Linked DNA regions of Mytilus edulis. The protein of the gene in region 4 purifies or fractionates together with the protein of the main gene of each other region. This does not show direct contact. Links are inferred from orthologs where the notes say so. Each region holds a gene or a part of one and is shown on either strand. Other genes may lie near its edges.

Region 1 (8,730 bases), on a different chromosome or scaffold from region 4:
TTTTCCGTATGCAAAGTGACCTCAGTGTGACCCATCTCGTAAAAATCCAGTGATCACAATACGAATGGATGTCCTTAAAATAAACTATTATCTGAATTTACATGTTAAACACGTGCTCAATTTTGTAGATTTTTGTCGATTGTTGACAAACACTCACTCACTGAGGTGACCATCGTTAAATTTCAGCTTCAAAACACGAACTTTAGTTACTTGCCATATTTTCACAAAAACACTGACCGATTGAAAAAAAAATTGACAATTATACGAAACTTACACGAAAAAAATGATAAATTCGTGCACAGAAGACTAACTTAATGATGTTTGTATGCATTGGTTCAAGAATTGGACAGTCAGAGCTCAGACATAAATAAGTCTGAATCTGCTTTTGACTCATAGAGGTCTAAATTTGTATGTTTTAGGATTTGTCTCCCTTTAATGCTAGACAAAATACGACTTAAATAAGTCAAATACTGTTAAGCAAGAAATAATTGACCAGAATCAAAAAGTTGCAAATGTCGACTCCTACAAGTCGATAAGTTATCAAAATTGGTTAACTTCAAGACCCATGCATATTTATAAAAAAATCATGCATCTAAATCAAATAATGACAACATTGAAGGACAATGCTTTGTCTTCTATAGAAAAATATGAATGAGAGTCTAAAAAATTGGAGATAATGTTAATTAACCTTACAAAACAACCACCTGGAACCACACTAAATAAGGTAAAACATCTGTGCTTAGTAAGGATGTTCAATTAAATAATTAAATATAGATAGCTCAAGTCCTTGTGAACTCTCAGACAGGTTTTTGCTGTCATAGGTGGAGTACTTTGGCCACCAAGTAAAATTAAGTTTTTTCATCAACATAAATAGACCTACATGTAAACAAGTCTGTCTTTTTCTGACTTAAATAAGTCTAAAATTGAAAACACATACATTGTATTATAATAAATACATGTTTTGACTTCTTTAAGTCAAAAACAAAAATGGACTTGTTTATGTCTGAGCTCTGATGGAAGAACATTTTTTTTCACCGGTCACTCGTTTCTTATGACTTTAAGGCCAATAATCTTTAATAAGAGACATCCAATGATTTCTGTCATTTTTGAATGGCTTGTAATTTTACAAAATGTACATGTATATTGTATTACAAAGTCACCTGTAGTTTACAGAAGAATGATCATGATCTGATTTGGCAATCCACTTCCAAATATAAAAAAAACTGTCACTCATAAAAATACATTTAAGTCAAGGAGGCAAGCTGTGAAAATAAATTTCCTTACAAGTCTTACAAGTTAAGAGAATCCAGATCTATTCATCCAACTACATGTACATGTTAGCCTGAATATTTGTTTACTCTGGCATGGGTCTTTCCCCTTGATTTTATTTTATTCTGTTGTCTTGTTGTACAATGTTAATTATTTGAATAAAGTTAAAAGAGGGACGAAAGATACCAAAGGGACAGTCAAACTCATAAATCTAAAACAAACTGACAACGCCATGGCTAAAAATAAAAAAGACAAACAGAAAAACAATAGTACACACGACACAACATAGAAAACTAAAGAATAAACAACACGAACCCCACCAAAAACTAGGGGTGATCTCAGGTGCTCCGGAGAGTATGTTAAAGTTTGTTGGACATTTCAGCAACTTTTGTCTTGTATCATATATAATACTATTGGCAATACTATAGTCTATTGCTGCTACCAAATAATTAATTTCCTTTGATTTGCACAAAAGCAATAGATAACTTTTGAGTTTGATGCATTTCCTTCAAAAACTTTGGTTTCAGTGAACGTCACTCGTGCATTTAGGGGTGTCATCGATTCCGTTCCAATGTTTAGCAAGTGGTTGGAAAACTATAAAGCTATATTGCATAAATTATTCGGCAAATTAAATTCTCATAATTGACAATCAGCACCACCACATTAGGGAATTGTGATTTTAAAAGTAACTACTGAACAAACTATGTTCAAAAATGTGTTGCCAGAGTCACACTAAGAAAGACTTCCGGTCAACTTTTCGGTAAAAATGCATATTTTAATAAATATTTGTTTAATGTTATCTTATAGCCTATTATAATAGCTTTCAGAATCAGTTCTATTTATTGATTTAGCTTAAGCGGTTCCACAGATATTAGTTATAATACACCCATTTTTCACTTCCGCGTTTTAGACCTTCCCCTAATTTTTCATGAAAAAAAATTCTGATGTCAAAAGCATTTACACATGTTCATGATTTAGCTTAACAACAAATTAATTTTGCTCTTATGAAATTTGCTCTAAAGGTTCATGTGGACCCTATGGCTAAAATGGCCGTATTTTCACCTCAAAATTTACTCTGAGTACAGACAAACCTGCGCATCTGTAAAAAATTTCAGGCATAGCATGCCCTAGATAAATAAATTTCAAATATGTTTTATGTTTTAGAAAAATAAAAACTTACCAGGATTTTGCCGTGCACTTTTTTTCATTCCTCCAGAGGGTGCCAAAATAAACTAAGTTGGGAAACAGGTTTGAGAACTTCCCCACAGGTAATAATTGAAGTGAGCTGTATTGCTTGACATGGACATGAGATGGACAATAGATACCTGACAATAATTGGTTATTTAAACTGTGTACCTGAATGGACCATATCAAGGTAAACTCAACTGTTTGTTAATTTTGCAGGGACGAAAAAAAGTGTACAGCAAAATCCAGTTAAGTTATGAATTTTCTAAATCATACAATGCATTTGAATTCTATTTATCTAGGGCATGCTATTAATATAGTCTGCTAGTAAATAAACATGATAAAAATTAAAATGTCCCTCATAAGGAAGAAAACTAAATAGGAATATTTAATTACAGGGTCAATTATGGGAATTGGGAATTAGATTCCAGATCTTCTACTTCTACACAGGAGTTGGTTCCAGAGAAGCTCTACTGTGATAGTCGAGTTCGGTATATTTTAAACTGTTATTAGGATTTCAAACTCCTGTGACTTCTACAAGATAATGGACATACTATACAATTACAACAGAGACTAATCATAACTTTCTTTCTAAATTTTAAGATCACTTAAAAGACATATGAAACCCAAGAATACTTACACAATGTATCAAAAATATTGAACAATGTTGTCTTGGGGAACGTGGAGATATGGGGAATGACACTCCAAACTAGGATCAATATTAAGGTGAATCTAAATACCTAATAATGAAGAAAAATAGATGTGGACAAAATTAAATAAAAGAAAAATATGTGAAATATCTTAATAAACTATATTATGCAAGATACTGACCTCCAGTCCATTTGTTTAATCATATATTCATGTATATGCTTAGCAGAAGAGAACTTAGTGTTCTAAAGATTTATTTAACTAATGGAATCCTACACACCAACTCGCCCCACTTTGAAAAAATCGCCCCGCACCAACTCGCACCAAACTGGTTAACCAACTCGCCACATGTAATAAGGGTTAAATCCTGTTAATTTAAATCTGCTTGAAGTTGGTCAAGTTGTCTACGTCAAAGTAAGAAATGTTTAGTCAAAATTCAAATTATTTTATAATTTTGATATATTTTTCAATATAGTTAGATAAGCCAAACATCAAATTCTAAACTATCGATGATTGTTACATCCGAGCGAATTGTCAGGGAATATAACCGTGTCAGATAACCGTTCCCTTCTCAATGAAAGTATTGATCAGTATTAAAAAGAGAAAAGAAATCAAAAAGTCTACAAACAGTGTTTATCTGAAAGCATAATATTTACCCTTTCCATAGGTAGATTTCCAAGTTAATCCAAAAAAAATGTCACATTTTATGGACTGCTCTTTCTAAATATACCTTAGAGTTTGGACGGCATTTTCAGTCTTAATATGGGCGATTTTTTTTATTGGAATCACCACATATCAAAAAACAACGAAAGTCCTCATTGTCGTTAGAAGAATTGGTTCGAATTTGATTCTGTTAATGAGTTTATATACGCTTAAACTCCCCAATGACATACATAACTAGTATAGTCAGGGCAGGGGCGGATGCAGGAATTTTGTCTTGGGGAACGTGGAGATATGGGGAATGTTACCTGTTACCTTCTGTAAATCCCTCCTCTATCAGGAGAACCTGGAGTTCATCCAGTAAAATTTTGTTGCCTTATATTTACATCTGTTTCCAGTCACTATACATTTATCTTTAAACAATTTTATCTATTTACAGCCTATGAGTTTGGTAAACCTTACAACTTTTAAATGTTTATTTACTTTCAAGGAGCACACTACGCTTTTCATGGAGCGAGTAACACAGGCTTCTAGTGATTGATTCCACCAAATTTATGTCATTTTTCTCTAACACATGATACCACTCGAAACGACTACAGTCCAAGATTAATTGTATCATTTTCGAGTTACTAACGCAAATGTCAGTCCATGCAACGGTTCCAATCTTTGGTACAATAACTGTATAAAGCTTTGAGATAAAAATGTCTCTAATACTTGTTAAGGCAGAGCATACGACAAGAAAATGTTCTAAATGCTCAGTTCCTTCCTCACATAGCGGACAAATTGAAGTTTTTTGACCATTTGAAAATTTTGAACGGTGGTACTGTAGAATATATGTATCCAATAGCATTTTGATCTTATAACAGGCTTTACGTATACACATTTGTTCTGAACCAGCACTTTTCCATATAGAATTAACAACACCAATTTTACAGTTTTTGATATTTAAGTACCGTAATGACGGTTTTGATTTGGCTTCAGTAAACAGTTTTTCGGACCAAAAGTTATCAACACACTTTTTTACTTTCATTTTCCACTTGTATTTTGTCTCTGGTTTAAGTAAAACTTCTGAGGCACACGGCAAGTTATATTGTTTCAAAATCTTGTCAGCCCTAATAAACCAGCTTTTAGAGTTTTTTCCTTTTGTAGACAGTTGACGCTTAGCAAGATCATTTTCGACAGAGTCACTTCTGGCAATGGTACCAAACGTTATCAGAATCTTTTTGTGTAGAAGTGCAATAATAGGTAATTGACCTAAAAGTAGATAAGCTCCAGCGTTGGAGGCTCTAGCAGGTAAATTTTGAATTTGTTTCAAAAAGTTATTACAAAAGATATCTAAGCGGGAAATATCTTTAGCACTAAGATTTACAATTTCAAGTCCAAATAACAAACGTGGAACCACATATGTTGACCAAAGTTTACATGACACCTCTGGATTAAGTCCATTTAAACCATGTAGTCCTGAGCCCATAAGTGCGTATGAAGTCTGTCTTGCAGTTTTTAAACGATTTCCAATAATTGTTCTTGTTGCCTCTACTTCACGGGAGTCTCTATCAATACCAATATGTTTATAATTTTCTACAGTTTCTAATGTTTCTGAGCCAATGTGAAACTTTTCCATTTGATTCCAAAGGTTGCAATTCAAAGATGAGTTCCATATCATAACTTTAGTTTTTTCCTTACTTATATTATATTCTTCTGTCTCTGCAAAATGGGAAGTATAACTAATCATAGTCTGGAGTTCATCAGGTTTTGAAGAGATAAGTAGCAGATCGTCTGCACACATTGGAGTACCCACAAACACATTACCAATTTTAAAACCCAAACTTTCACTTTCTAACTTTTTTATTAGCGGATTAACGAAAAGTTTGTATACAGAGGGAGACCATACGCTGCCTTGACGGACGCCTTGGAGTTCAGCAAACGAAGTAGATAACTTGCCTTCCCATCGAACTGCAGAGCTCATATTCGTGTACCAGTCATTTAAGATTTGCCAACTTTGTCCAGATATTCCACTTTTAAATATACTTTTTAACAGAGAGGCATGCCAAACAACATCGAAGGCGGATGACGCATCAACAAAAGTAGTAAATAATGTTTGTCCTAATTCTTTTGCTTCTATGATTGCCTCAGTCAGGGGAAGTGCTGCAAAAGTAGGATTGACCCCGGCAGTAAAGCCACGTTGAAGTCTGCTCTGTACCTTTAGTAGTTTAGGTTCCTCTAAACAAAGATGTACCGATTCCATCAATTTTCCCATTACAGGAGAAACTGTTATACGTCGATAAGATTTTGGTAGGCAGATAGGTTTTCCATGACCTTTGAACAACGGTGAAACAATACCTTCTTTGAAACACTGTGGTACACGCTTAAATTTAAATGCTTCATTTATCAAGTTTGTAAGTATTTTGGCTGTTTTTTCACCTCCATATTTAAAATGTTCAGCAGAAATTCCAAATTGGTCAGTAGCTTTCCCGGTTTTCATTTTAGAAATACATTTTTGAATTGTTCCAATATCAAATTCAATAGTTTTTTCATCTTCATGTTCCAATATGTCTTGAAGCAAAATACGGTCTAGCTCAACTTGAGAGCGGTACTGTTGATTCTGCGGTTTTTCAGACGGAGTAGATAAATCAGTGAAATAATTTGTCCATGCCTCACGAATAAGATCAGGTGTATCAAAATGAACATCATCAATGATCAGACAGTCGAGTAAGCGTTTTCCACTCTGCCTCTGACGGCGAATAATTTTATAAAATGTGGCATTGTCACCAGAATGAGCATCCATAATGTTCTGATAGAGAGAATGTCGCTCTTCTGCATTCAATTGTCTTTGGAGTTTTCTAAGTTCTCTTTTCATATCGAGACGTTTTCTGTTTGCAGGGTCGTTTATGTCAGACGGACTCCCAAGAGATTTCCATTTCCAATGTGCATCCTTGCTTTGTTTACAGAGTTGTTGCAGCATAGAGTTCCATGAACGTTTCCTTTTTCCAACAGAAATTGTTGGTGCACATTCAAAGGCGGTTGTAGTTAAAATATTAAAAAGTTCTTCACAGCTCATTTCGATAAATGAGAAAATACTATTGTCAATAAACATATAACTAAGTCTCTGATGAAGTAATTTTTCATATTTTTCATTGTCAAGTTTTTTCCAGTTCACTTTCTTCAGTGTTGAAATCGATTTTCCAGACTTAGTAGTTCTTGTTGAAAAGAAACATGACAAGGTTGCCTGCACTGACCTATGAGATGAAGTGTTAAGCGGTTCATCTATCATGACTTTTATATCTGAGATTTTATCTATTTGAGTTGAGGATATGACTATATAATCAATCTGGGAAGATTGTTTCCCACCGTGGTGGTAATATGTATGCTCTTCTGGGTAGTCCTATGGCACGGACAGATGTTTCTCGTTCAGAAATGACTTTAAAGCTTTATCTTGGCGATAACCCTTTGACCTATTCACACTGGCATTCATGTCACCTAATATTATAGTTGTTGAGTTACTATACTTTGTCATAATTTCACCTAGTTCGTCCAAAGTACTTTCAAATAAATCCATGGAATAATTTTGACACGGCATATAAACACAATACAAATTAAAATCTAAAATATCATCACTAAGTGTCACTGCACTAATTCTATGACTCCCCTCATTCAAAACAGTAATTTTCTCTGTTATTTTATTTGACCATAACATTGCTGTACCGGCCATTCCGAAACCCTTATCTAAAAGCAACAAAATTGATATTTATTTTACTCAATCATGTAAAATATGCAGGATATACCGTTAAATTTAGTATGCTACAACTTTTCCCTAGTTTTGAAATGCTGTGGAATTGATGTGATATACAATGACTTAACATGACATTAAAAAAGAGGCGAAAGATACGTACCAAAGGGACATTAAAACTAATAAGTCGACGCCATGACTGAAATAGAAATAGGAACAGACGAACAGAGACACAACCAACAGTATATAACACACAACATAGAAAACTAAAGACTGAGCCACACGAACTGTGACAACAAAACTACGGGTGATCTCAGGTGCTCCGGTAGGGCAAGCAGATTCTGCTCCACGTGTAGACCTTGTCGTGTTGCACATGTTAGTACAAACCCGTAACTTCAGCCTGTCACTTACTGAGCCTGACTTGAAAGTAAGTGCTGCCATCCAGCTGCATTTGAAGCCAGATCAATTTATGTTTGTGTGTTATTTGTACAGAAAGAAACTACTCACCCTTTATATCTAAGTATTAGTATCTCGTTTTTCAGCTGTGTAATATATATTTTTTTCAAACTCAACATTGACAAAAGGTTTATCTGATTGCAAATTGAGGCTACAGTTGTTTACCGATGTTGTCATCAATCGATTTTTACTCTTCCAAGCATTGTAATCACTTGCAACTTCTAAAGTGTACTCTAATAACTATAATTTATCAAGCTGAAAGTTAAATACAAAATATTTCACTTCAATAGAATCGAAGAAAAGCTTGGCGAAAAATGTCCTTTTGCAATGAGCGCACTGTGTTTGAAACTAAATGTATTAACAACCAGAAAAGAGATCCACGACTAAAGATCTCTAGATTAAATATGTAATCATCCCCTTTTATAGATATTCTCATAAAGACGAAAGTAGTATACCACTGTTCGAAAGCATAAATCGATTGTCATAAGAGAAAACAAATCCGGGCTACAAACTAAATCGATGGAAATTCACACATCAACTTAAAGAGGAAAACAACGAAAAAGCAGAAAAAACTGAAGTGAACAAAAAACAGACGACAATGCAACACACACAGAAACGAACTATAAGATAACAACTGACATTTTCTTGACTTGGTACAAGAAGGAAAATGGGGGGTTGCACCTGGTTTTGTGGCTAGCCAAACTCGCCCTTTTATGGCAATATTAAATATATAACATTAAAATGACAGGAATACAGTTCAAATAAATGCAAGAACATTCAGGATA
Region 2 (8,614 bases), on a different chromosome or scaffold from region 4:
TTACAATCCTTAACAACATTCAAGGGGGTCTTCAAATGTATCTTAATGTTGCTTTTTTCTTTTTGGCTTGTTCATACTTTTTAAAGCCTATAGCCATTGGAAAATTAAATGGTTTGTTTTAAGGCACTAGCTACGGTTACATGAAAATGTAACAATAATATAAAAATTATTGTTACATTGGAAACTAATTGCCGGAATGCAAGGTAGGGTAAGGAATCGATTATTTATGAATGTAACAATAATATTTGTGTCTACGGTTACATTGCATTATTGTTACATTCAAGACTGCAATGTATGCTAGATTTATTAAACTTAAACCTTCTGAAGTTTAGATACTTAATTCTTTCTAGATGGTATTAGTAATAATTATAAAACGAATAATGTTTAAATAGTATCAATTATTTAGATGTTCTTAAAGATACTACTACAACATGTACACTATTTATGAATACATGAACTGTTCAATCATTTGTGTCAATAGAGCATGTACTGTCACCAACAAGAACGAAATTACAATCCCAAAATACATTTGCATCTGGACTTTGAAAATGAAAATCACTGTTTCCACCAGTTTCAACCTGTAGGCAAATGTCAACCATGTCAACATTAATTACTTTCACAATTGAAATGTATTTATAAAAAACCTCACATGCTTCATATAAAAAAAATATCGCAAGAGTACAAATATATTTTCCAACTGACATGACTGAAGCATGGCAAAATGAGATAGTGCAGAATGGAATTGTACAGTAAGGAATACAGAGCATGCACGTTACCACATCACTGGTTGGTGTAGGGTAAGGAATACAGAGCATGCACGTTTCCACATCACTGGTTGGTGTAGGGTAAGGAATAGAGCATGCATGTTGCCACATCACTGGTTGGTGTAGGGTAAGGAATACAGACCATACACATTGCCACATCACTGGTTGGTGTAAGGTAAGGAATACAGAGCATGCACATTGCCACATCACTGGTTGGTGTACGGTAAAGAATAGAGCATGCACGTTGCCACATCACTGGTTGGTGTACGGTAAGGAATACAGAGCATGCAAGTTGCCACATCACTGGTTGGTGTTGCATGGCTGCTTAGAGTGATTTCATTAAAAATGCATCGGACTAAAATATGCTCCAAAAACAACTTACTGGATTTGCAGGGTTTAAGCTAGGATTTTGAGGGCTTTAGTCACTTTTGAACTCTATTAAAATCAACCTTATTTTGTGTAAAAGCAAGGGACCAATGATGTATATTACTAGCTTCATCTTTTGACTTTGTCAGATTTTAAGGGATTGAGGCACCAGCATGATTGGCAGTTATTGTATGATTTGACCATGTTGACTGTATTGGTCATTATTATGAAAGATTCTGAAATGGAATCCAGAAATTTAGTTCACAATTTCTCTTCAGTTTGTTCCAGGGGTCATTCCTGATCAACAAAAGATGGATTCTTTTTTTTTTAAACAAGGAATCACAGCAGAAATTAACTTGAACTGATTATTTCACTTCATAATCAAAATCCTTATAAAAGGTCTAAATCGATTTTTGGAAATCATTTCTATCAAGTTGGAAATGTGTAAAATCCTTTGTGGAACTATTATAATGACTGAAAGGAGGTTGTAAACAAATCAACAATAGATCACGTTTACTACTTTCGGTTTTAAAATGAAACGAAAACGGGAAGTGACACCTGGATAATAAATTCAAAATGAGTCCGGATTCATCAGAAAATTAACATTTTTCGATTTAAATTCCTTTGGTAAGAGATATATATTTGTCTCTTTCATTTAATTGATTCTAAATGATTGCGTATTTTACGTTTTTAATGTATATAAATAGTCAAAGGAATACTTTCACGCATGCCTAGATCACAATACAGGAAGCACCTGTTTAACTCGTGCAAGTTTTGAATAAACACATTAAAGTTCCTTATTCTAAATTGAAATTGCCGAAAGTTTTTGATGAAAATTTAAATCAAATATGACGAAAATGCTTTCGAATGACAAATCTACGACAAACGACATTCAAATTGTGATCGTTTGAGAAATATTGAAATCCAAATGCGAACTGTCCGGGTTGTTATATTTTTTTATTAAATGACGAAACTATACTCCTGGTTGTTGAAATGCCGAGTGACTGATCTTCCTGGTGAAATAATTATGATGGTCATTCAATTATGGGGTTTATTAATAATTAACGGATTAGTGACCCATCCGATGGAGATAAGCGGATTAGTTGTAATCACAACTTGTAACACCTGTTGAAAATGTTAATTACCTGGAGGTCATAAACTTGTCGAAAACATGAAGACAGGTAGATTTATAGTTTTTATTGCGAAATTTTTTTACACTTTAAAAATTAAAGTGGCGAAATTGATTTGAAATACTTTCGTCAATGAGAAAACCCTTTCGTAAAATTGTAGTTCAATGTAAATAAAAATTTTAAAAAATTGTATGAAATATTGTAAATATCAGATTTTAATACAAATGTAAAATTGAGAAATGGGGAATGTGCCAAAGAGACAACAACCCGACCATGGAAAAAGTGTACATACATGTATTACTAGTCCCATGAATACTTCTTTGCAGTGCTTTAATGAAACAATAACACAATTTGTAACCGTAGACAAACCTTTAGCATGTCTAGTGCATGTGCCATGGACACTATTTTCTTCCCATTGCCAAAATTTTATTACTATTGACAGAAGGCTAGTGCCTATGCCCAACCCTGCATTCCGGCAATTAGTCTCCAAAGTAACAATAATATTCCCATGTATTGTAACCGTCCTAGCCAATGCCTCGTTTTATATTGTGGAAAACAATGAGGGGGGGTAGGAGGGGTCCTGATCCTGAAATCCCGGGCTTAAAACACGAAATCCCGAGGTCCCGAATTTAAATTAAGTAAAATCCCGGATCCCGAAATTTGAAAAAAAGAATTCCCGGACCCCGAAATCCAGAGCTTAAAAACACCCGATCCCAGAGTCCTGATAAAGGTCCTATCCCCCCTCAACAATTGCTCTTCAAAAATTTTCATTTGGGAACTTTTGTTTTGGAAATCCCCTGCAAATAGTGACATTTGGCAGGCATGAAGATTGGACCCTGGCCATACAGGTATTAGGGCGAAAAGTAGTCCAAATAATTATACATCTTGAAAGGCCTAATTATTCAGACTAGGCGGACAAATACATGTATGTGTGCCAGGGTGATTGTACATAAGGGCCAACAAACCAGGATTCAATCTGGTGGATGCCAGGCCTTCAAACTCTTCCAACTACACAGGTTAGTCTGTACTCTGAGGTGTAAAAACAGCATTTTTGTCCATCTTAAATCCCCCTCCCCCCTTTTTTTTTTACATTGTATCTGACCAGCTAACATTGAACATGTGCTGGTGTGTTTATTGGTTAGTCAACATACTGCATAATTGAAATGATGATCTTCTATAAACTCCTCATGTTTAGACTTTTCATTTTTAAAGCTGGATTTTTCAAAAACAAGTTTTCCTATGGGTAAACTTTTCTCTATGGGCGCAGCCATTTTCTTCGGAATTACCTAAAGACCGGAACATTGCTTACAAATAAGTTTTCATATTTTTATCAACAATGTAAAATTACTAATAATTTACAGGAAATTAAAAATTATACATATTCTCAAATCTAAGAATAAGTTTTGTTGTTTTTTTTGTTCTTTAGACATATGAAAATATTTTTTGAGCCCAGAATTCGCATGCCTTAATTTATGCCTCCATGAGACTGTAAAAAGAGCAGACAGCAATATTAGTTAAACCTCTCTGTATTATATATAGTTCAGTGTTAAACAGTAAGTCAATAATAGTTTTATTCATGAGTTTTGCTCTGAAAATCAACTTTGTCATCTTTGTCTCTGAGACAAAGGAAAGTGTAGGGTTGTATTTTTTTGAGTGTCACACAGAGTCACTGGGAGTGTGTAAAGAAATGATTTCAATTTGACCTGTATGAAAATATAAACAATAATACTATACTTCATTGAAAATCTAAAAGAGAAAGTCCATGAAAACGTACAAAATCAAACGTTAGACTTTGTCAACAGAACAAAAGGAAAACATTAACTGTCATGACTGTAATCATGGTAATTGTATTTAAGTGATAAGTTTCCTGGTAAAATATGTCTGGTTGAAAAAATATTACTAGTAATATGTATAATATGAGGCAGGCATTACCTGTGAATGGGAACGAAGTCTGTAATATGAGGCAGGCATTACCTGTGAATGGGGACGAAGTCTGTATTATTTTTTTTTTAATTCAATCATGTTGATAAAAGAAACGGAAATACCGTAACGTTTCCGATATTGGTTCTGTTGCTAGGGATTTAGTTGTGACGTTATTTAAGTTATGATGTCATATTCAATGTAAACAAAGAAACGCTGTTATCCAGGTAACATTTTTTTCCTATCAAACAATTATCAAAAATGATTGAATGTTGAATTTATATACATTTTATTCAAAGTCTCATGCAAACAAGACCGGAAAAGGAAGTAGATCTGAAAAAAAAAGTTAAGGATTTTGAGTTCATTAGTAGAATGAAAAATTCGGGGAAATTTTCCTGAATTTTTTTTTTTATTATTGATTTTTCAACCGTAATTTGGGACTTCGTCCCCAAAAAAATAGTACATGGTTACAAAATTTACTAGTATAAATATATTTAGTCCGGGGATTGTAATCTATGTCCCCAGACTAATTTTCCTAGGAAATCATGTCCTAGCTATAAAATCCTATAATAAATTCAGTTACATATATATATAGGAAATCATGTCCATGTCATTAATATTCACATTAATTTCCGAATTTGCGCAGCCCATGAGTTAATTATCAGTGTTGTTGGGTCACAAGTTGAATATTTTTAGATATTTGAATTCTTTAATTAGTTATTCTTTTTCTTACATTGGCAAATGGCTTTTTTTAAAGAAATTAATGTAAAACATGTAAGCAACTACATTTATATCTTTTCCCTATGCATTCACAGTTTGTTTTGACCCCCCTTATTGATGTCTTGACAACGCCAATTGTTGTATGACGTCAGAGAGTGAAATAGTTGTTATTTCACATGTGAAATTATCGGTTTTTATTTAACTGGGAAATCAATGTAATTCATTGCAACCAATGTTATAAATTCTCTTATAACGTTGTATAATGCAGGTTGCTTTTGTTATTTCAATAATATTATTGAGTTCAGTCATTTCAACTGCTCAGGCAAATAGAAAGTATATTTGTGTGAAGGTATTCTCAATTTCTACAAATTTCTATGTCCTAAGATGCATACCTAGAGGTTTTTAGTGGCACTTTTTGTAGTGAACTTCATCAAAACTGTAGTTCAATCCACATACACAAGGTAGAATCAGCTTACTTAAAAGAATATATGTACCTGCCAAGTTTTGTTAATTTCTAATAAATGTACTTGTATAAAATGGTTCAATAAACATTATTGAATTTAATGTGTAAAGTTAACTATCAACAGAGGGATGATGGCAATATAAATCCCTTCAAGAGTTTTAATTTTTTTTTTCTAAACTGTAATTTTTTTTAAACATTTCTGACAAGAAGTGAATTATTTTAATCAGTCTGTTTGTCAAAGTAACTACAAAATCGTATATCCTTGACATATATAGATTGATGAAACTAAAATATAAAAACCAGATTTTAGCTGAATTTTAGCTTATGAGGCTTAATCTCTATCATAATAAACATCTTAACATCTAACATTTTGTCTAATGTCAAGGAAGGTCTGATGAGGTGACAATCTTGATATGAATACAATTTATTAACTGAAATAGATCAAAATATTTGCGATGAGTTTTAAATCTAGGCCAGGAGTATTGACTCTTATATGTAGGTTTTATCCATTATCATTTTCTGACCTCAGGTATATATTATAAACGTTGTTTATTTACATTTTAGATCTTAAATAGTTTCGTCCTAGATGATGACCCTGGTGATATGGGTAGACCCCAGGATATGCATTAGATAAAGTTGCTTTGTTAACATAGTCAGTGTAATATCTAGTATCACTAATGACAAACTGGATTGTTATAAGATGTTAAAAATGACTTGAACAGACTGAGCAACAAGTATGTCTTTAATCCGCTATTTAAAAGTTCCTTTACACAAACGCTGTACAAGTGATGCCTTCTACAGAGCTTTCCACAGAAGTTGTATAAACAATAACGAAGCATCAAAATCATTGAAGACAGTTGTTGATTTGCCAAAGCATGCCCGTGTGGTGATATGTGGTGGGGGTGTAACTGGGTCATCTATAGCTTACCATCTAGCAGAGAGAGGTTGGAATGATGTTGTACTGTTGGAGCAGGGGAAGTAAGTAGCCTACAGTGGGTCAGGGGATATTGTAACATTAATAGGGGTGTAACTGAGACATCTATAGCTAGCTACCAACTAGCAGAGAGAGGGTGAAATTATGTTGTATATTGCTAGTTCAGGGGACTTTAATAACCTACACCGGAAGTGAATGCTAAAATATTACTGTAATATTTAAAAAAAACTTTAACTTTGAGGAGGCAATAATATCAGACCAATTAAGTCTGCAAATCAACTACTTGAATTTAACATAACCAAGATAACTGCCAAAATCATGTAAAATGTGATGAACATGGTAAAATTTGTAGAAAAGGTTTTCTTTTTTTAACTCTTGCTTTTGTAGATATACATGTGGAACAACATGGCATTCTGTTGGTTTAATTGGTCAATTGAGAGATGATGTTCCTTCAGCTAGACTAGTCAAGTACAGTGCTGAACTGTACAGGTCATTAGAAAAGGCAGGACATGGCATTGGTTAGTATAACATAGGTCATTGGCAAGTCCAAACATAGAATTGGTAATTATTTCATCTGAATAGGTCAGTAGAAAAGGCAGGACATGGCATTGGTTAGTATTATACCTGTACAGGTCATTAGAAAAGGTAGGACATGGCATTTGGTCTGAGTATTATATAGGTCATTGGGAAGTATAAACATAGAATTGGTCATTATTATATTTGTACTGGTCATTAGAAAAGGTAGGACATGGCATTGGTCAGTATTATATAGGTCAATGGGAAGTCCAAAAATAGAATTGGTCATTATTGTATCTGTACAGGTCATTAGAAAAGGCAGGTCATGGCATTGGTCAGTATTATATCTGTACAGGTCATTAGAAAAGGTAGGACATGGCATTGGTCAGTATTATATAGGTCAATGGGAAGTCTGAACATCTCATTGGTCATTATTTCATCTGAATAGGTCAGTAGAAAAGTTAGAAAATGATGTCAGTTTTATATCTGCATAGGTCATTGAAAATTAGAAACTTTTAACTAAAAGTCAAATTATAAACATAAGTCTAAAAATGTGGTTTGGATGTGGAAATTTCAATAATTATTTTATATCTATAAGTAAATAATTTTATTAAACGCTTACTGATTTTTTTGACACTGAAGTTATGATTTTTTTCAATCAAAGAATTATAGTTTAGGTATAAGAATATTTTATTTATAGGGTGAATAAATATATTAATGATATCAAACATGTCAAAGGAGACAATAATGCAATCTAGTAGACCACTTTCGAGTTCATCCATCACCGGCAGAAACACGTCAATTATGCCTGCCTTTATGATGTCATTTACCAGATAGAGGGGGTCGTCTGTATCCCTGCACTATTTAGGTTCATCAGGCGTCTTAGTTAATTTCATTGTGCAGGATAAACTAGAAATAATGGTTGTTCTGTAGGTACTAAATGGCAATTCCCTAATGACAGCAGTGCTGATTGTCAATTTTGAGAATTCAGTTTGCCGAATAATTCGTACAATATAGAATTATAGTTTTCCAACCACTTGCTCAACATTGGAATGGAAGTGACGACGCCCCTAAGCGCACAAATGACGTTCACTAAAACCAGAGTTTTTGATGGAAATGCATCGAACTCGAAAGTTGTATATTGGTGTAACACCACTAATTCAGGCCCGGCCAGAAAGCACATACCAGAAAGTAGTACATATTTAACACAAAATAGTTTCTACGCATGAGTGTAACTTTCAAAATATGTAGAATATTTAGGTATTGTTGGTATCAAATGAAAGATTAAGGACTGGTGAGCATTTTAGAACACTTTTGGACTTTTATTTTTGAATAATAAAAAGACTGCACTAATTTTTAAAAAGAGGGTACATTTTGTCTGTTTGTCAGATCTGATGTACCTGTTTTGGTACATCCTAATTTCCGCGAACCAGTTCTTTCTTATATGCCATTAAAGGTATGTTGATTTTTTCAGTACAAGACACCATAAAGTGTTGCTTTGAAATGCAATAATTGCCAATTTATTTGAACTTAAAACAAAAGAGGTGTGCCTGCTCTAAAATCTCACTGTACATGCAATTTTGAACCAGTTTAGCAAGTTATCTAGCTGAGGGATATATAAATTGCTCTAAATAATCTATATTTTACCACAGAATTATGGTTTATTCCAAAAAAAGCCCTTTTCCAATTTAAAGAAAAAAGGGGGGACAATTTTCTCATTTATGTCTTAAGTTTGGACTAATGTATTTTTATTTAATGAGGGACCTCTGATAAAAATAGGCTATTGGTAAGCACATAGTTT
Region 3 (7,992 bases), on a different chromosome or scaffold from region 4:
GTTTATCTAACCTTTAGTTTTACATTGTTTCAGTGATGTAGCTAGTTGTTTTTGATGATATCTGATCAGAAATTTCTGGCATGACTTCAGCGTACCTGGAAAAAAACCAAGAAAAATATAATATCATTAAACAATTCCTTCAGGTACTTTGAAGTCAAATTACCCTTGTATTTAATTATCATGAAGAAAAAACACATTTTGATTGTTCAGGACTTGGTTGCCAGTAATTTGTTATCACAAATAAGTTTGCCAATAGTTTAAACATAGTACTACATGTATCGACCAAATATACCATTGGATAAAAGGGTATCCAGTTGCCAAATGTTTTAAGCAACTCAGTATTATACTTAAATTAATTGTTCAAGATTGCCTATGGCACAACAAGTCTAATAAACGCCATTTTTAGGCAAACTTTTCACTATTGTCTGGACACCATTAAATGAAATATTGTTTATGACTGTATTTTGATCTCTAGATTTTGTTTGGATATTTGTTTGGGTTGCTGTCTCATATGTCTTCTTCTATATCATGTAAAAGGTATTCAATATTTTCCATATGTCTGTTGTTTGTCACATTTTGATTATGGGGTTACAAATTGTGAATGAAATAATGGACTGTCGAAAGTTACAAAGATATGATGAAAAGAAGTTTTCTGTAGTTATGTCTCTCACAGACAGCCTGATTCATATTTAATGTACTGGTAGTTATATATTAGGGTACAGGGTTGCAGCTGGCCGTCAACATTTTCACAATTTGCTAAAAAATAATAATTGTGTCGATTAAAATTTGTCATTTGTGAAAGAATTTGGCGAAAGAAATATATATAACAATTTATTTTTATCCATCTTGTTTATTTACTTTTTTCGGGTTTCTCTGACTTTCCCTGATCAGACAGTACTCGGAATTCACCTTGAACTCTTCACCTTGAACTCGTTAAGATTTTGACAGAAAATCAATAATCAGCTGATTGCATTTTATAGCTAACGACAACAACGGACTAACTAATAAAGGTGTTGATTGTATTGTTAGTCAAAATGATATGGTTACATGGCAACCGTCACATGTCACATAAAGGATTTATTAACCACTTTGCGACGGACATGTTCAAAGCAAATAGGGGAATCAAATTCAAATGGAATTCTATCACAAATAAAAAGACTCCAATATACTTTAACAAATATTTACCTCCTATGTGAACAGTATGTAACATGACTTCACAATCTTTGACCTTTGTCATAAAGGTTAAAGTTGACTGGATCATCAGATGACATCCACGTTTAACTCGTATGATAATGATCCCAGTGTCTGGGTTAAAATATTTCACTGAAATAAATGAATATTCATGTTTTAATGATACAAATATGTACCTTATCCAAATAGAGATAAAAGGACCAAAATTACAGAGAATGGAACAATGAGCAAAAAAAATAAAGAATACAAAAACAAAGACACCCCTGCCTTGCTAATAAATGGTGAAATTAGGCAGTTTTGGCTGCTTTTAGATTGAATGCTAAGAACAGCTGAAAGACTGCTAAATATATGAAGAACTAGTAAATAGCAGCTATTAAACAGTTAATGATAGCAATTCAGTTTGACATTGGATTGTGTAGACCCTCATGTATATGTAAAAAAATCAATTAACATCCCTTACATTACAATTACAATTACTTATTTAGAGAAGAATGCAATTACACAAGTAAAGCAAAGAACTGAAATATTCATTACAGTTTATTCCAATAACTGAATCAGTTTGTTTGTTCATACATTTTCCTGATTTAATGGAAACTTGAAAATGGCAGTGAGAAAATGCAACTGGAATACAGAAATTCTTATGTATGACTTTGAAATATGTTGAGTAAAGGTCAAAGAGACAGCAATCCAACAGCAAACACAAACAATAACATTTATGTACCAAATAATGAAGTCATAATAGACCCTGTGCCATAATCTCCATGATATTTTGATACTGTATCTTTCAAACAACGAAGAAAGTCCATCTGTGAAAACTCTGGTTTCCTGCCATCTGTTACAACTTCACACACTAAATATCTGAAATATAATTAAAGTAAAATCAATTTTTTTTTAGTAGAGTAAAATTCATTGAATCATAAAGAATGTGTTTTGAAAGTTGTTCATGTTCAGGATTATATGTTAATTTGATCAAATACAATGGTGAACCCTCTTTTTACATTTTTTTCTATATACTAGTAATAGTCCAATGCAAGAGAACCTAAGCTGTTGAAAGGATACCTTCTACTCACATCTCAAACTTTTCCTAAAAATTTTAATCCCTTTGGTTTTTTTTTTTGGCTAGATATAAATATATATACATTATGCATTAGTAATTTTTTTAAGTGACCTCTGTATTTTTCAACTTTTTCTAAAATCTAAATACTATACATAGACTTCATAAATTTCTGCGAGAAACAAAATTGGTTTCTCAGTACTAGCTTAACACTTAAATTGTTGTGAAAAATGGTTGTATGTATTTATTGCTACTTTACAAAACTTTCTTTTGATCTTTGTGACTGATAATTTCCTTTCTCGGAACAGTACAGTGATATGAATAATTATTGCTAAAAACTATGGTTGCATGTGCCATCGTCAATGAAATTGACAACATTGTTGGTAAAATAGCTATGAACAGATCATCATTGGTCATCCCAACTCTATCGCATTTTCTCGCTTGAGCTGGTACAGTGAACGTTTGTCATCTAAACCATAATCTATAAATACAGTTTGACACTGATCATTATACATTGTACAGTTGTACATCACCATGCATGCATGTTTATAATGTTGACTTCTTTCTTTTCTTGTTTTATTTGGAACAGTTGTAATAGTTGCAGTGCTAAAGAAGGGTAGTAATGGGGTACCTTCATGATGAATAACAGTAAAAATTCTTACATAATTTTTGTTGCATTGACGATAAAGTGTACACTTTCTTTTCCAGGATAAAAAAAAATAGACTGATTTTGAAGCATCTCGTTATCTTTTTTCCAAAAATGATGTTAACGATAATTATTTGAGACCTCTGACGAATCACAATATAGATATTTTGATGAATCACTTTAAGATTTTGACGAATCACTTTAAGATTTTGACGAATCACTTTAAGATTTTGACGAATCCCAGTAAGATTTTAACCAATTTGATGCTAACGGTTGTCATGGTTTTCGCAAATGACCGTTTGAGGCCTGATGGTAAAAGGCATTACTACCCTCCTAAAGGTAGCTGAAAATGAACATTAGGCATCTAAAGGCAAAATTCATTTGTACCCTCAAATTAATTGTCATGTCAACTGTATAGAAGAATTGATGCATCTAGTCCAAATAATTATAAAAATTGGCGAGGCTATTTAAATTTTTTCTGGGATCCCTTCCTAGGACCGTCATAGGCAGGCGTCCCAGGAAAAGACTTGCCAGACGTCATAATTATTTGGACTAGGGCGCATCCAAAAAGGGGGGGGGCAGGGGTTGGACCCCCCTTTTTTGGATGATAAATGCATTTGAATGGGCACATATATTTAGAACACATTCACACACAACTTTTTAACCTGGGTCCCCCTTCTGAAAATTGCTTAATCACTTTCACTTAATGTATATGAACCTGTTTTTGAACCGAACCATCTTCTTTTTATTTTTATCAGCTTTCAGTCTCTAGCAAATTTGTGAAATAAGTTAAATTACGAATGAAAGTTTCCGATCATTAAATTTTGAACTTTTATTTGCCATCCATTGCAATTATGAAAAATAGGATAAACTATAAATGATTAAATGAGGAAGGATATTTCATAAAATTTTAAAAAAAATGTAATTTCATCACTAGAATTTTAAGATATGACCGTGCAAGTAACGGGACTAGAATACACAATTTATGTCTATCCAACATGTCTGCGCCCATGAATGTCAACATTTGGAACATGTTATTTTTGTATTTAAGGAAAGAAGTTTAAGGCCAATCATCATGATCAAGTTTATAGATGTCTACTGTTTACATTATTGAAGAGAAGTGTTGTAAAAAAATATCAAAACATGAAATAACCGGTCAACCAGTGGTCCATCTGTCAGACTATTGAAAAATCTTACGTAATACACAGCCGGATACACATAAACCCAAGAGTTTGGAGATCTGATGCAATAAATATGACCATATTAATGAGAAATTGTATCTTGCTAAGTCAAAGATTGACTTCTAATAATATCAGACATAGGTCATCAGTTATTGGTAGACAATTTTTGAAGTTGAAATGTGATAAACCCAAAGTCTTCCATATTTTAAAAAGATTTACTAATGTCAAAGCTACCAATAAAAAGGCACCTGACAACTTAAAGAAAAAGACATATGAAATAAGGAGATTGTTTTCTCTTGCAAAACCAGAGAGATGGAAGTTGTCAGGCAAGTGTTATCTGGATAGCATATAAGGCACAAAATGTGCACCATACTGGATAGAACAGTCAGAGCTCAGACATAAACAAGTCTATTTTTGTTTTTGACTTAAAGAAGTCAAAACATGTATTTGACATAAAATGAGTTTTCAATTTTAGACTTATCTAAGTCATAAAATGACAGACTTGTTTAGGTCTATTTATGTTGATGAAAAAACTTAATTTCACTTGGTGGCCAAACTACACAACCTATGACAGCAAAAACCTGTCTGAGAGTTCACAAGGACTTGAGCTATCTATATGTAATTGTCTAATTGAACATCCTTGCTAAACACAGATGTTTTTCCTCATTAAGTGTAGTTCCAGGTGGTTGCATTGTAAGGTTAATTAACATTATCTCCGATTTTTTAGACTCTCATTCATATTTTTCTTTAGAAGACAAAGCATTGTCTTTCAATGTTGTCATTATTTGATTTAGATGCATGACCTCCTTATCAATATGCGTGGGTCTTGAAGTTAACCAATTTTGATCACTTATCGACTTGTAGGAGTCGATATTTGCAACTTTTTGATTCTGGTCAATTATTTCTTGCTTAACAACATTTGACTTATGTAAGTCGTATTTTGTCTTGCATTAAAGGGAGACTAATCCTAAAACTTACAAATTTAGACCTCTATGAGTCAAAAGCAGATTCAGACTTATTTATGTCTGAGCTCTGACTGTAGAATGATAATAATAACAACCTTTATTTAATCAGTATTTATAAGAAGATGTAGTATGATTGCTAATGAGACAACTCTCCTTCTAAGTCCCAATTTTTAAAAGTAAACCATTATAAGTCAAAGTACAGTCTTCAACATGTAGCATTGGCTCACACAGAAAAGTTCTGAGACTACTATAACACAGAGATTGTGTTATAGTAGTCTCAGCACAGAACAACAAGCTATAAACCCCAAAAATGGTTAGTGTAAAACCATTCAAACAGGAAAACCAACAGTTTAATCTACATGTATGTTAAAAAAAAACAGAAAAGAGAAACACGTATGAACAATGGTGAACCACATCAACAAACGACAACCACTGAACATCTGTTACCTTCATTAGGACAGTTGCATTAAGAAAAGCAGCGGGTTTGCACTTTTTATCTGATGCCAACATTCGCCCTAACCCGAGACAGTGGTGTAACAATACGACACAAAAGGACATGTGTACTATAAAACATTTATTAAACAGATTAGACTAGTTTGCATTGTACATGTTGTAAATAATCATAATCTTTATTTAGAACCCATTCATATACAAAAAAGTACAACATACAGCTCATCAGTAATGTTTAAACTGACTATTCTACACATAGATGAAAATAAAATACATGAGAACTGTCATCATTATCATGCACATAAACATTTACATTTTAAATAAAATTGAGAATGGAAATGGGGAATATGACAAAGAGCACAAAAACAGACGAAGGCCACAACATGCACAAAAGGGTCTTCACTACAGCAGAAAAATCCTGCAAGCTTCAGCTGGCCCCTAAACAAAAATGTTAAAATACATAAAACATACATGTATGTAAATTTATGCAGCTGTTTAAGTTACTAAGTGACACATAATGTTAAGAAATTGTACTACATTGTATAAGTGTGTTCACTTAAAAAAATTAATTGAGAAAGGAAATGGGGAATGTGTCAAAGCGACAACAACCCGACCATAGAGCAGACAACAACAGAAGGTCACCAATGGGTCTTCAATGTTGACCATTAAGATCAAAACAAGTTTATTCTATAAATTCATTTTGAAATTTGAAAAAGAGAAATCTATTTGAACTTGTTTAAGAGTGCAAGGAAAATTGGAGGAACAAATGAGGAATCCAAATGGCTTACGTTCTACATGTATATGACTTACCACTGGTAAAAATCAAAGGTGCTACATGTATGTGATTTATAAATTCATTTGCTAGAGAATTGCAATAATTAGATAAACATGATATATATCCTCATCAAATAATGTTTTTACCAAAAAAAAAACCAACTGCACATGAAATAAATTATTTGAAAATGCAAATTACAATCATAAACATATTGTTTGGTTTCTTTTACTTTTAGACAAACAAGCCTAAAGAACACAAAGAATAATATCACTTGTTCTGGCCAGTATTTATATCATTTTTCATTGTTTTTTAGGTGCTGTTGTTTTATTGATCATATCAAGTGGTGTTTCCATGGCAGTTCCATTTTGTATTGGAAAAGTTATAGATATTATTTATTCACCATCTGAACAAGAAAAAATGAAAGAGAAACTTACTACTTTCTGTCAGATAATGGTTGGTGTATTTATTGTTGGTGCCGTAGCAAACTTTGGAAGAGTTTATTTAATGTCAGTATCAGGTAAATATTTGGAAATTTGATTGACTTTATTGTATGCCAAATCAATAAAATAGTGCACACATTCATCATGTTCACCATGTAAATATAATACACCTTATCGCTAATCCCTGCTGACGAGGCCGCTTGAACTTTTGACGTCAACAACAATCACTTTTCCATTGTGGCATCAGATATTTTGTTTTATGGCGTCAAAATTTTACGGGAACCTGTGTGATATCCAGTAATGACGGACAAATAGCAATAAGGTGTATTAACTCACACAAACTGCTAGAATCTATGAGGGTCTGGATGGAGTGAACACTTAACAGAATAGAGAATTATGGGCCATACAAAAAATTAAAGACTGTAGAATAATATGGTGCTCCAATAAACATATAGAATTGATATTTATGAAGACACATCAATAAATGAACATGAGGTAGGAAAAAATAAGGGAAGAAAAACATCAATAATCATGCATTTACATGACCCTTGGAGTAAGGGAGATAATTTAAATCATTACAAGTAACCATCAATACAATACACCTTATCACTATTTAGTCCATTCCGGGAAAAACAGTCATTTATACAACTTCCTGTTTGGGTCACCGGCCGAAAAATGGAGGTCATCAGTAGTGAGCTGAGTGAGAAAAAACTTTAGAAAGTGATCATCAAGAAACTTTGATATAGTATGATCCACTTTTTTCGAAATTAAAATTGAACTAAAAAAATATTTTGTTTGAAGTATTTACGGTAGTTTAAACAGGTCTCATTAAAAAGTATCATGCATGGTGAATTGTTTAAACAGGGTCCCAGATAGCTTCAACTGGATGAAAAAGATGTAATTTTAGAACTTATCCGAAATGGAATAAATAGCAATTAGGTGGATGCACTGGCACAACTGCTTTTCTCCTTTTAAGTCTATATAACTAAATAATATGCTCTCAATTGTTATCTCGTAATCTCTGTTTTCTTAAGAATATAAAAGAAATAATTGTGATAAAGATTTAAAAGAATGGAGAATAATGTGATGCTCAATTATAAACAATACTGTGGAAATTATTATTAATCGTTGGATACCAATTTTTCGTTGGTTTTCAAGTATACAAGTGAACAATGTATTCAAATGTTTGACGAATTACAAGTTTTTTATATAGTCATTGATAGTCAGACTGTCTTTGTATGCAGAAGTTGGCAAAACCACGTAATCAAATATCCCCGTAAATGCAAGTTT
Region 4 (8,206 bases):
TGGCTACACGTGCTGATCTTATCTATAGTCATGCATATTCATTAGCTATGTAGGCGTGTCAAAATCGTATCATACGCGATAATGACCAGCCAGAACACACTGTAATGATTTCATTAACCAGTATTACAGTGAGTTGACTGTTAGTGTTGCTCTCCACCAATTGCAACTCATTCAAAATTTTGACCAAATTGCAATTTGTTTTATTAAAGCAAATTGTTCAACTGGTCAGAAAAATGAACAAATTGTTCAGTCAAAATGTGAAAGTGCAAGGTGATAAAATAAAATATACTTACAATCCTATAAGACTTTAACTCCACTTTCATGATGTTGTGACAAAAATTAGTTTATCAGTTTGTATAGTTATATTATATTCATTTCCATGCTGAAGGGGAACTGTTTATTTTGAATTGCTATTAAATTGTTCAAACTAAGCTTTCATATAGTTTTTCTTTCTAAAAGTCTTCTATATTTATAAGAATCAGATATCATTTTAAATAAAACATCATATATTCAGTAAAATATGTGTGAAATAACAATATGCTATTGATAAATTTTCAGGGGAGATAACCTAAAATATTATTCTTTTGAATAAAGACTTTTTGAAAGAAAAGTTATTATCTCCCCCATGGAAACTTCCTACAAACATATATTGCAATTTTACACATATTTTACTGAATATGAAATGTTTTAATTCACATAATGTCTGATTCTTATAAATATAGAATACTTTTTTGAATTGCTATTAAATTGTCCAAACTAAGCTTTCATATAGTTTTTCTTTCTAAAAGTATTCTATCTATAATACTAAAATTACGAGGTCCAATTTGTCAGCCGTCATCACGTAAAAACGACGAATAAAAAAATTCAACTTTATTTATGACTAATATAGGACAATGCTGTTGATTAAAAAGTACTCCATTCCAGGACCTTTTGTTTTCCAAATAATTAATATTATCAATAATTGATAAGTTCCAGTTCGACGGGTTCAAACAGAAAGATTTGAAAGCGGAGAAAACTGTGTATCTTATAATCGGCATGACTTTATCAAATGACAATACTAATACTAAAATAAGGCTTGCGCATAGTTATATACTTTAATTCAGTCACGGACCTGCGATATCACGGGTGTGTTCTAGTATTTATAAGAATCAGACATTATGTGAATTAAAACATTTCATATTTAGTAAAATATGTGTAAAATTGCAATATATGTTTGTAGGAAGTTTTCATGGGGGAGATAATAACTTTTCTTTCAAAAAGTCTTTATTCAAAAGAATAATATTATTAGGTTATCTCCCCTGAAAATTTATCAATAGCATATTGTTATTTCACACATATTTTACTGAATATATGATGTTTTATTTAAAATGATATCTGATTCTTATAAATATAGAAGACTTTTAGAAAGAAAAACTATATGAAAGCTTAGTTTGGACAATTTAATAGCAATTCAAAATAAACAGTTCCCCTTCAGCATGGAAATGAATATAATATAACTATACAAACTGATAAACTAATTTTGTCACCACATCATTAAAGTGGAGTTAAAGTCTTATAGGATTATAAGTATGTTTTATTTTATCACCTTGCACTTTCATCACTTGGCTGTGGTTTTCTACAGCAGTTGGTTCAAATTTCTGACCAGTTGAACAATTTGAATTTAAAAAACAAATTGCAATTTGGTCAAAATTGTGAATGAGTTGCAATTGGTGGAGAGCAACACTAACAGTCAACTCACTGTAAAAAGATAAACATAACATCCCCCGCCCACAAATTAGAAATTTCTAAAAATTTCTTACTGGTAAATGAAATCTATTTATATAAAAATTATGAATAATAATAATAAAAATTAAAAAAAAATTGAAACAATCTCTAAGAAAATACTAATTGTACTTTAATATACACACATTTAAAACTTGAAAAAAAAATCATAAGTTCTCATAAAATAATAATTCTATGTGTTAAATTAAATAACTTCAAAATTTGTAGTCAAAAAAAAAAAAAAAAAAAAAAATGTGACCGGGATTTTGTTATGAGGGTCAAAAATTGGTGGCCAGGTGGAATCAAATGATTCAAGAGATACGAAGTATAATAGGGGCCAAAAATTGGTGGCCGGGATTTGTGAATTGTTTGAACGTTGAACAACAGATGTAGTAGCGCAAAAGATGTTATGCTAGAAATAACCTATGTGTTCATATATTAATATCTATTTTGATTGAATGTTGTAAGAATCTTTAATCTCAGTCGACAGTGATTTAAGAAATAATTCATGGAAGCCATAGATTTGTTGGAAATTTACACATGGCCTGGGCCGTGATATTCGAATTTTATCCTGAGCGTTAGCGAGGGAAAAAATTAACGAATATCACGGTCCAGGCCATGTGTAAATTTACAACAAATCTATGGCTTCCATGAATTATTTCGATTCTAATAGGACAAATAAGTTCATTCAAATACTGAAGCGAGAGTGGTAATGCCGTGTGTGAAGCTGTTCTTTTTTACTCCTTGTTAGATAAAGCTCAAATATTCTCATAAATATTTAGCTTGCATTGATTATTTCGTTAATATCGCTGGAAAAAATATGTTTAATTCTCAAACCCAATATTTCCGATTTTTAATTTACATATTTTCTCGTAAGCTAGCTACCGTCAAATCCAAAATTGACATTTTGTAACGAAAGAGCTGCCATGTTGACTCGATGAAATCAAAGAAAAGAAAACAAAACCTACCTCAGAATTCCATTTTAATACAATATTATACGAACTTCGATGGTTACAAAAAAAATAATATTTTTGTGACATTGTCTAAATATTGTTTTTATACTGCAACTTAAATTAGTATATTAATAGCTTTTAAAATCGTAACATAAATATCAAGCTTATTTTCATCCCTTAATGAACCCCTGATTGTAGAGAAAGTGTTCCATGATGAAATTGACATTGCACAACATAGCTGTGTTACTATATTTAGGAAATAAACAAAACTAGTTGCATTATATTAATTCTTTTTATTATGCATCCGAATAAGAATAAAAGTTCTTTTGTCTTTTGTTTTATTACAATTTCTAATACAACAAAATTGGCAAAGCGTTTGCAAAGTAGATTCAAATACATGTGGATTTACGTGGGAGGATGAGGGTCGTGACCTTTTTAGCTAACTGGATGAATCAGACAGGTGTTAGTAAAATTGACAACTTCGTGCAATGTGAAATGTCGAAGGGGATTTTCGGTTAACAAAAAAGAAAATGTATTTTTTTAATAATTAGAGAAACAGATTATTACATAGTTACTCGTGGATTATCGGATTTATCCCATCTTGATAGTTAAATTATCAATTTTAAGTCCTCGCCGAGGCTCGGACTGTTAAATTGATAATTTAACTATCAAGATTGGATAAATCCGATAATCCACGAGTAACTATGTAAGAATCCTTATATTTAAAAACTGCCGAAGTAACAATAAACCAAAAGGCAACGATTAATGAACTAGTAACACCATTGAAGAAGCTAGCTGCATGAAAAAACGAGTTTATAAAAGGGTATATGTACACACAAAACCAGAAAACTCACTGCCCTGAGTAAAATGAACTTGTTACGATATAATCAATCAAAGACGCATTCAAAATACTACAATATTATAAGTCCGGATAAATCGTCTTACATGTCTCTTGTAATATCTTATAAATTAATTGCTCTCAGAGTAATTGCTAGTTTAAAGTCAATATTAACAGATATATATATGTTCAGAATTAAAGAGTTTCTTTAAAAGTATATGAAATGCGTGACATTTGTTGTTTAAATGGAGACGAAAGATACTGTGGCAAACTTGGACATTCAAGAGCAGAAGACAACACCATGGCAAGAGAAACAACCAAAAGACAACGTTACAGTATACAAAATTCATACTAAAGACTGAGCAACACGATTGAAGAAGCTAACTGAAAATGGTCTACCCCATTTTAACCAGGGTAGGTGCTCACGGTATGCCATGATGGTCAACATCCGTTAATATAAACATATATCCGTGTATTATATATATATAAAAAGAAGATGTGATATGATTGCCAATGAGACAGCTGTCCACAAGAGACCAACATGACACAGAAAATAAGAACTATATTATATAGTCAGTCACTGGGATAATATGGGTTAATATCTCTGAAACCAAAACATTTAGAGCAAATCTGACGAGGATAAAATTGTTTATTAGGTCAAGGATTTGTATAGTATACAAATCCTTGATTAGGTCAAGATTTATAAGCATTTTTGTTTATTCCTTTGTTGTTGCTTATTGATTCTTTGCCGCTATTCCTATTTTTTGTCGCGTATATTCTTTAACCCCCTACACAGGCACTCAGATCTCAGAAAAAAATATTCCTACTAAATACCTTAATATTACATTATATAATGTTATATTAGATATTTAGGGGGGGGGGGGGAGATTCTGAGATAAAATTGCATACATGTGGTCTTCTATTTTGTAAACCCCATACAACCCTCCTTTAACTTTGAGATGTTAACAGACAAAACTCGTTTTATCTTGTAATGACCGGGTATTAACCGTTCGCTTAAATATATATATGGGTACTGTGTTCTTTACTAGCAACGCCAAAAATATTTTACCTTTCGGAATCAATCTAAGGATTGTTCCGAATGGAATAAATAGGACGACACGTGAAATGAAAAATGATCAGATAAATATTGACGAGTAAAGACAAACACAACAGGTTCGTGACATTCTACAGATTCTGGAGTGATTGAAAATATATAACTCAGTTATTTTGATAGGGACGGAATTAGGTGGAGATATCGTAATCTAAAACAGAATTGGCGGTCACCGTTTCGGGGTATCGGGTCCGTTCGCCCTAATAACATGTTCGCCCTGGCTCTGTTCGCCCTAAGTTCGTTCGCCCTACTTTTAAAAAAGAACTATCAATGAACATAGTAAAGGCAAGGATTTGAATAGTTAGGGCATCAAATTTGATAAACTTATTCAGATATTAATATGATATATATTCTTGGAATTTATGTAAACACATAATATGCGTATCGTGTAGTCATCTGTTTTGAAGACAAAATTTGAAACTGGATGTTCTGCAAAATTTTATATAAAGAGCAATTCGGCACTCATTTCCAGGTTTAGTCTTTTTTTTATCAAATTCACAGGAAATCATCGGCATATTTAATTTTTGTACCTTTGATAGTGTTTGAATACAAATTGTAGTAAGTGCACTTGCTTTATTTAGCATGAAATCATTTTGAATTTACGATTTAGTGTCTAATCTGCGCAAGGATTTGTATAGTGTCACTATACAAATTTATCCTTGATCTAGGGAAGAGGATTTTGACATGCATATTACATAATAAACAAAGCATATGTGTTAGTAGTGACTTTTTTGTTCAGAAATTAAATCAAGTTTTGATCTAATTTTAAAATCATATTTGACAATTAGCTGAAAGACAGTTGTTATGGAATTTTAATTTATTTTCAATTTAGTTCTAGGCTTGTGATCAATAGCCAGGTTTGAATTAAAAATATAGGTGAAGAGCAAGGGTCCGGAAACGGTCATATATGCCAGTCTTGACCTAAACTGAAAGTATTTTGTCCTAAATGAGTAACTGGGATTTAGGACAAATTTTATTTTTTTACAGAAATAATTTCGGTCATCCAATGTCTTTTTGTTGAGATTGAGTTTCTAACATTGTCTAAATCGCCATTTTGAACTTATTTTTTGTTTGTTATCCTTTTCCTGTAATAAAACTGCCACTCCAGTAAAGTGTTATAATCCTGAGGGCCCTCCTAATAACTATAGTAATGCCTCTGGGAAATATTGGCTAATGATCGCTAATCTCTTTAACTGTGTACGTTTTTAATTAATTTTTTTTATTGATCACGAGCTCAGAACTAATATTTTAAAGAAATTAAAAGTTCATAACAACTGTCTGCATTATTTTATTACTTTTCTCAGCTTAGACAATTGTCAATTCTGATTTAAAATTAAATTAAAATTAAATTAATTTACGTAGAACAAAATGTTGTTTCACTACAAACACACATGCTTTGTTTACTAATACGCATGCTTGAAATTCTATTCCGCAAATTAGACACTAAATCGTAAATTCAAAATGATTTCATGCTAAATTAAACAAGTCCAACTATTATAATTAATATTCAAACACTATTAAAGGTAAAACAGTTAAAAAGCCGACGATTTCCTGTGAATTTGATTAACAAAACTAATCCCGGAAATGAGTCCGGAATTGGTCGTTTTACTATTGTCGTAAAACATCCAGTTATAATTTTGGCTTCAAAATCGAAAGAAACGTAAGCGAAGTTTGAGAAATTTATCGTTTTGAGTCATTAAAATCATTTCATTTTTAAACTGTTGCCTTCCTTTTATTGCTCAAGATCGATTTTAAGGAAAATGGTAGGGAAATTTCTGAAATAAATGCGATGCAACAGTTAAACAAGTTTGTTAATGCTACGAGTATGACTGTATGAGCATACACACAATCTTTGTTTGAAAAAGGGCACCAACTTTTAAGTTATCCCAAAATGACCGAAATTAGGTGAAAAAATTTCCGGATCCTTGGTGAAGAGATTAGTGATCATAAGCCAATACTTCCCCCAGGCATTTATATAGTTATTAGGAGGGCATTCAGGATTAAAACACTATACTGGAGGTGTAACACCACTAATTCGGGCCCGGCCAGTAAACACATACCAGAAAGTAGTGCATATTTAACACAAAATAGTTCCTACGCATGAGTGTAACTTTCAAAATATGTAGAATATTTAGGTATTTTTGGTATCAAATAAAAGCTGAAGGACTGGTGATCATTGTAGAACACTTTTGGACAATTTTGAATATTAAAAAAACTGCATCAAATTTTAAAAAGAGGGTACATTTTGTCTGTTTGTCAGATCTGATGTACCTGTTTGGGTACATCCGAAGATCTGGGAACCAGTTCTTTCTTATTTGCAATTAAAGGTATGTTGATTTTTTCAGTACAAGACGTACACCATAAAGTGTTGCTTTGCAATGCAATGATTGCCACTTTATTTGAACTTAAAACAAAAGAGGTGTGCCTGCTTGAAACGGAGGAATTTAACATAGAAAGCAATGGGACCATGAATTAGTGGTGTACTTCCTGGAGGGGCAGTTTATTACCGGAAAGGGATAATAAAACAAAAACAAGTTCAAAATGGCAATTTAGAAACTCAATCTCAACTCAATGACAGAAATTATTTCTGTTAAAAAATAAAATTTGTCCTAAATCCCAATTCCATGTTTAGGACAAACACTTTCAGTTTAGGACAAGACTGGCAAATATGACCGCTTCTGGATCTACTCAATCTATTCTCATTCTATGTTTATATCGGAGTAAGGTCCCTTTGATTTGCATAGTAACTTAATTTCAAAATTGTTAATCTTTGCTACATATCAATAGATTCCTTTGTAATATTTTCCCTTGAATTTCTTTTGATATATCTGCATACATACATTGTATATGAATAATCAGCATGTTCCAGAAAGGCAGTGTCTGCGCGTAACCGCATGTGGGTACGAATAGTCAAATTGCCGTTCTAGGCTGCACGTACCCACATCCGGTTTTCTATTAAAATGCCATCGGATCGAGAATGAAACGTGAAATATATACGGAAATTATCGATAATATTGGGATTTCGTGTAGAAAGAGTGAATAGTATGAAAAATAATATTTTCAAATTGTATTTATTAAATAATGATACATAATAAACATTGCAAAATTAAAAACACAATGATGTAAAATGAAACTGTACAGTCCCTGTAAAAGAAAAACATGATAGAAATTAATACGATTATAAAATTTAAATGAAAATTTAAAGAATAACATTTTAATAATTTAAAAATATACCCATATGATATTTTAAAACAATCTTTTAGTAAAATGTAAAACAGAAACTGAAATTTTAAAATATATAAAACTACTAAAATTAAAGCTTGAGTTTATAAAAATTAAAGAAGCAAGTGATAAATCAATTTAAACCAATTATAAAAGATTCATGTAACTGACTAGTTAAGATTTCGAACAAATTTTACGTATCCAATATGATTGTTTTGGCACAGATTTCAACCCTGCACATTTCAAACGTTGCCAGTCTAAACAGCAATCACATGCCAACGAGTCCTGATCGTGTAGGTTTTTTTTTTTTTTTACACTTTA

The links.
Region 1: the proteins of ribonuclease P protein subunit p14-like (region 4) and ribonuclease P protein subunit p29-like purify together in Homo sapiens (affinity purification with mass spectrometry; 3 studies listed by BioGRID and IntAct, counting the BioPlex papers as one, with this or other methods). This does not show direct contact. The link is inferred for Mytilus edulis from reciprocal best matches to the Homo sapiens genes RPP14 and POP4.
Region 2: the proteins of ribonuclease P protein subunit p14-like (region 4) and ribonuclease P protein subunit p40-like purify together in Homo sapiens (co-immunoprecipitation; 3 studies listed by BioGRID and IntAct, with this or other methods). This does not show direct contact. The link is inferred for Mytilus edulis from reciprocal best matches to the Homo sapiens genes RPP14 and RPP40.
Region 3: the proteins of ribonuclease P protein subunit p14-like (region 4) and ribonuclease P/MRP protein subunit POP5-like purify together in Homo sapiens (co-immunoprecipitation; 3 studies listed by BioGRID and IntAct, with this or other methods). This does not show direct contact. The link is inferred for Mytilus edulis from reciprocal best matches to the Homo sapiens genes RPP14 and POP5.

The regions. Positions count from the first base shown.
Region 1 is NC_092348.1:15,792,170-15,800,899, forward strand, and holds the start of ribonuclease P protein subunit p29-like, read right to left. Parts: upstream 3,199-8,730; 5' UTR 3,095-3,198; intron 1,227-3,094; exon of another isoform or gene 1,161-1,226; intron 1-1,160. UniProt on the Homo sapiens protein: Component of ribonuclease P, a ribonucleoprotein complex that generates mature tRNA molecules by cleaving their 5'-ends.
Region 2 is NC_092348.1:201,815-210,428, forward strand, and holds the start of ribonuclease P protein subunit p40-like, read right to left. Parts: upstream 3,542-8,614; 5' UTR 3,532-3,541; coding exon 3,412-3,531; intron 2,622-3,411; exon of another isoform or gene 2,571-2,621; coding exon of another isoform or gene 2,553-2,570; intron 1-2,552. Other genes in the region: pyruvate dehydrogenase phosphatase regulatory subunit, mitochondrial-like, read left to right, coding at 6,100-6,341, 6,685-6,815. UniProt on the Homo sapiens protein: Component of ribonuclease P, a ribonucleoprotein complex that generates mature tRNA molecules by cleaving their 5'-ends. Also a component of the MRP ribonuclease complex, which cleaves pre-rRNA sequences.
Region 3 is NC_092346.1:2,263,942-2,271,933, reverse strand, and holds the start of ribonuclease P/MRP protein subunit POP5-like, read right to left. Parts: upstream 3,710-7,992; 5' UTR 3,630-3,709; coding exon 3,610-3,629; intron 2,050-3,609; coding exon 1,913-2,049; intron 1,324-1,912; coding exon 1,186-1,323; intron 96-1,185; coding exon 12-95; intron 1-11. Other genes in the region: ATP-binding cassette sub-family B member 10, mitochondrial-like, read left to right, coding at 4,146-4,398, 6,576-6,779. UniProt on the Homo sapiens protein: Component of ribonuclease P, a protein complex that generates mature tRNA molecules by cleaving their 5'-ends. Also a component of the MRP ribonuclease complex, which cleaves pre-rRNA sequences.
Region 4 is NC_092344.1:46,637,750-46,645,955, reverse strand, and holds the start of ribonuclease P protein subunit p14-like, read left to right. Parts: upstream 1-4,618; 5' UTR 4,619-4,725; intron 4,726-8,206. UniProt on the Homo sapiens protein: Component of ribonuclease P, a ribonucleoprotein complex that generates mature tRNA molecules by cleaving their 5'-ends.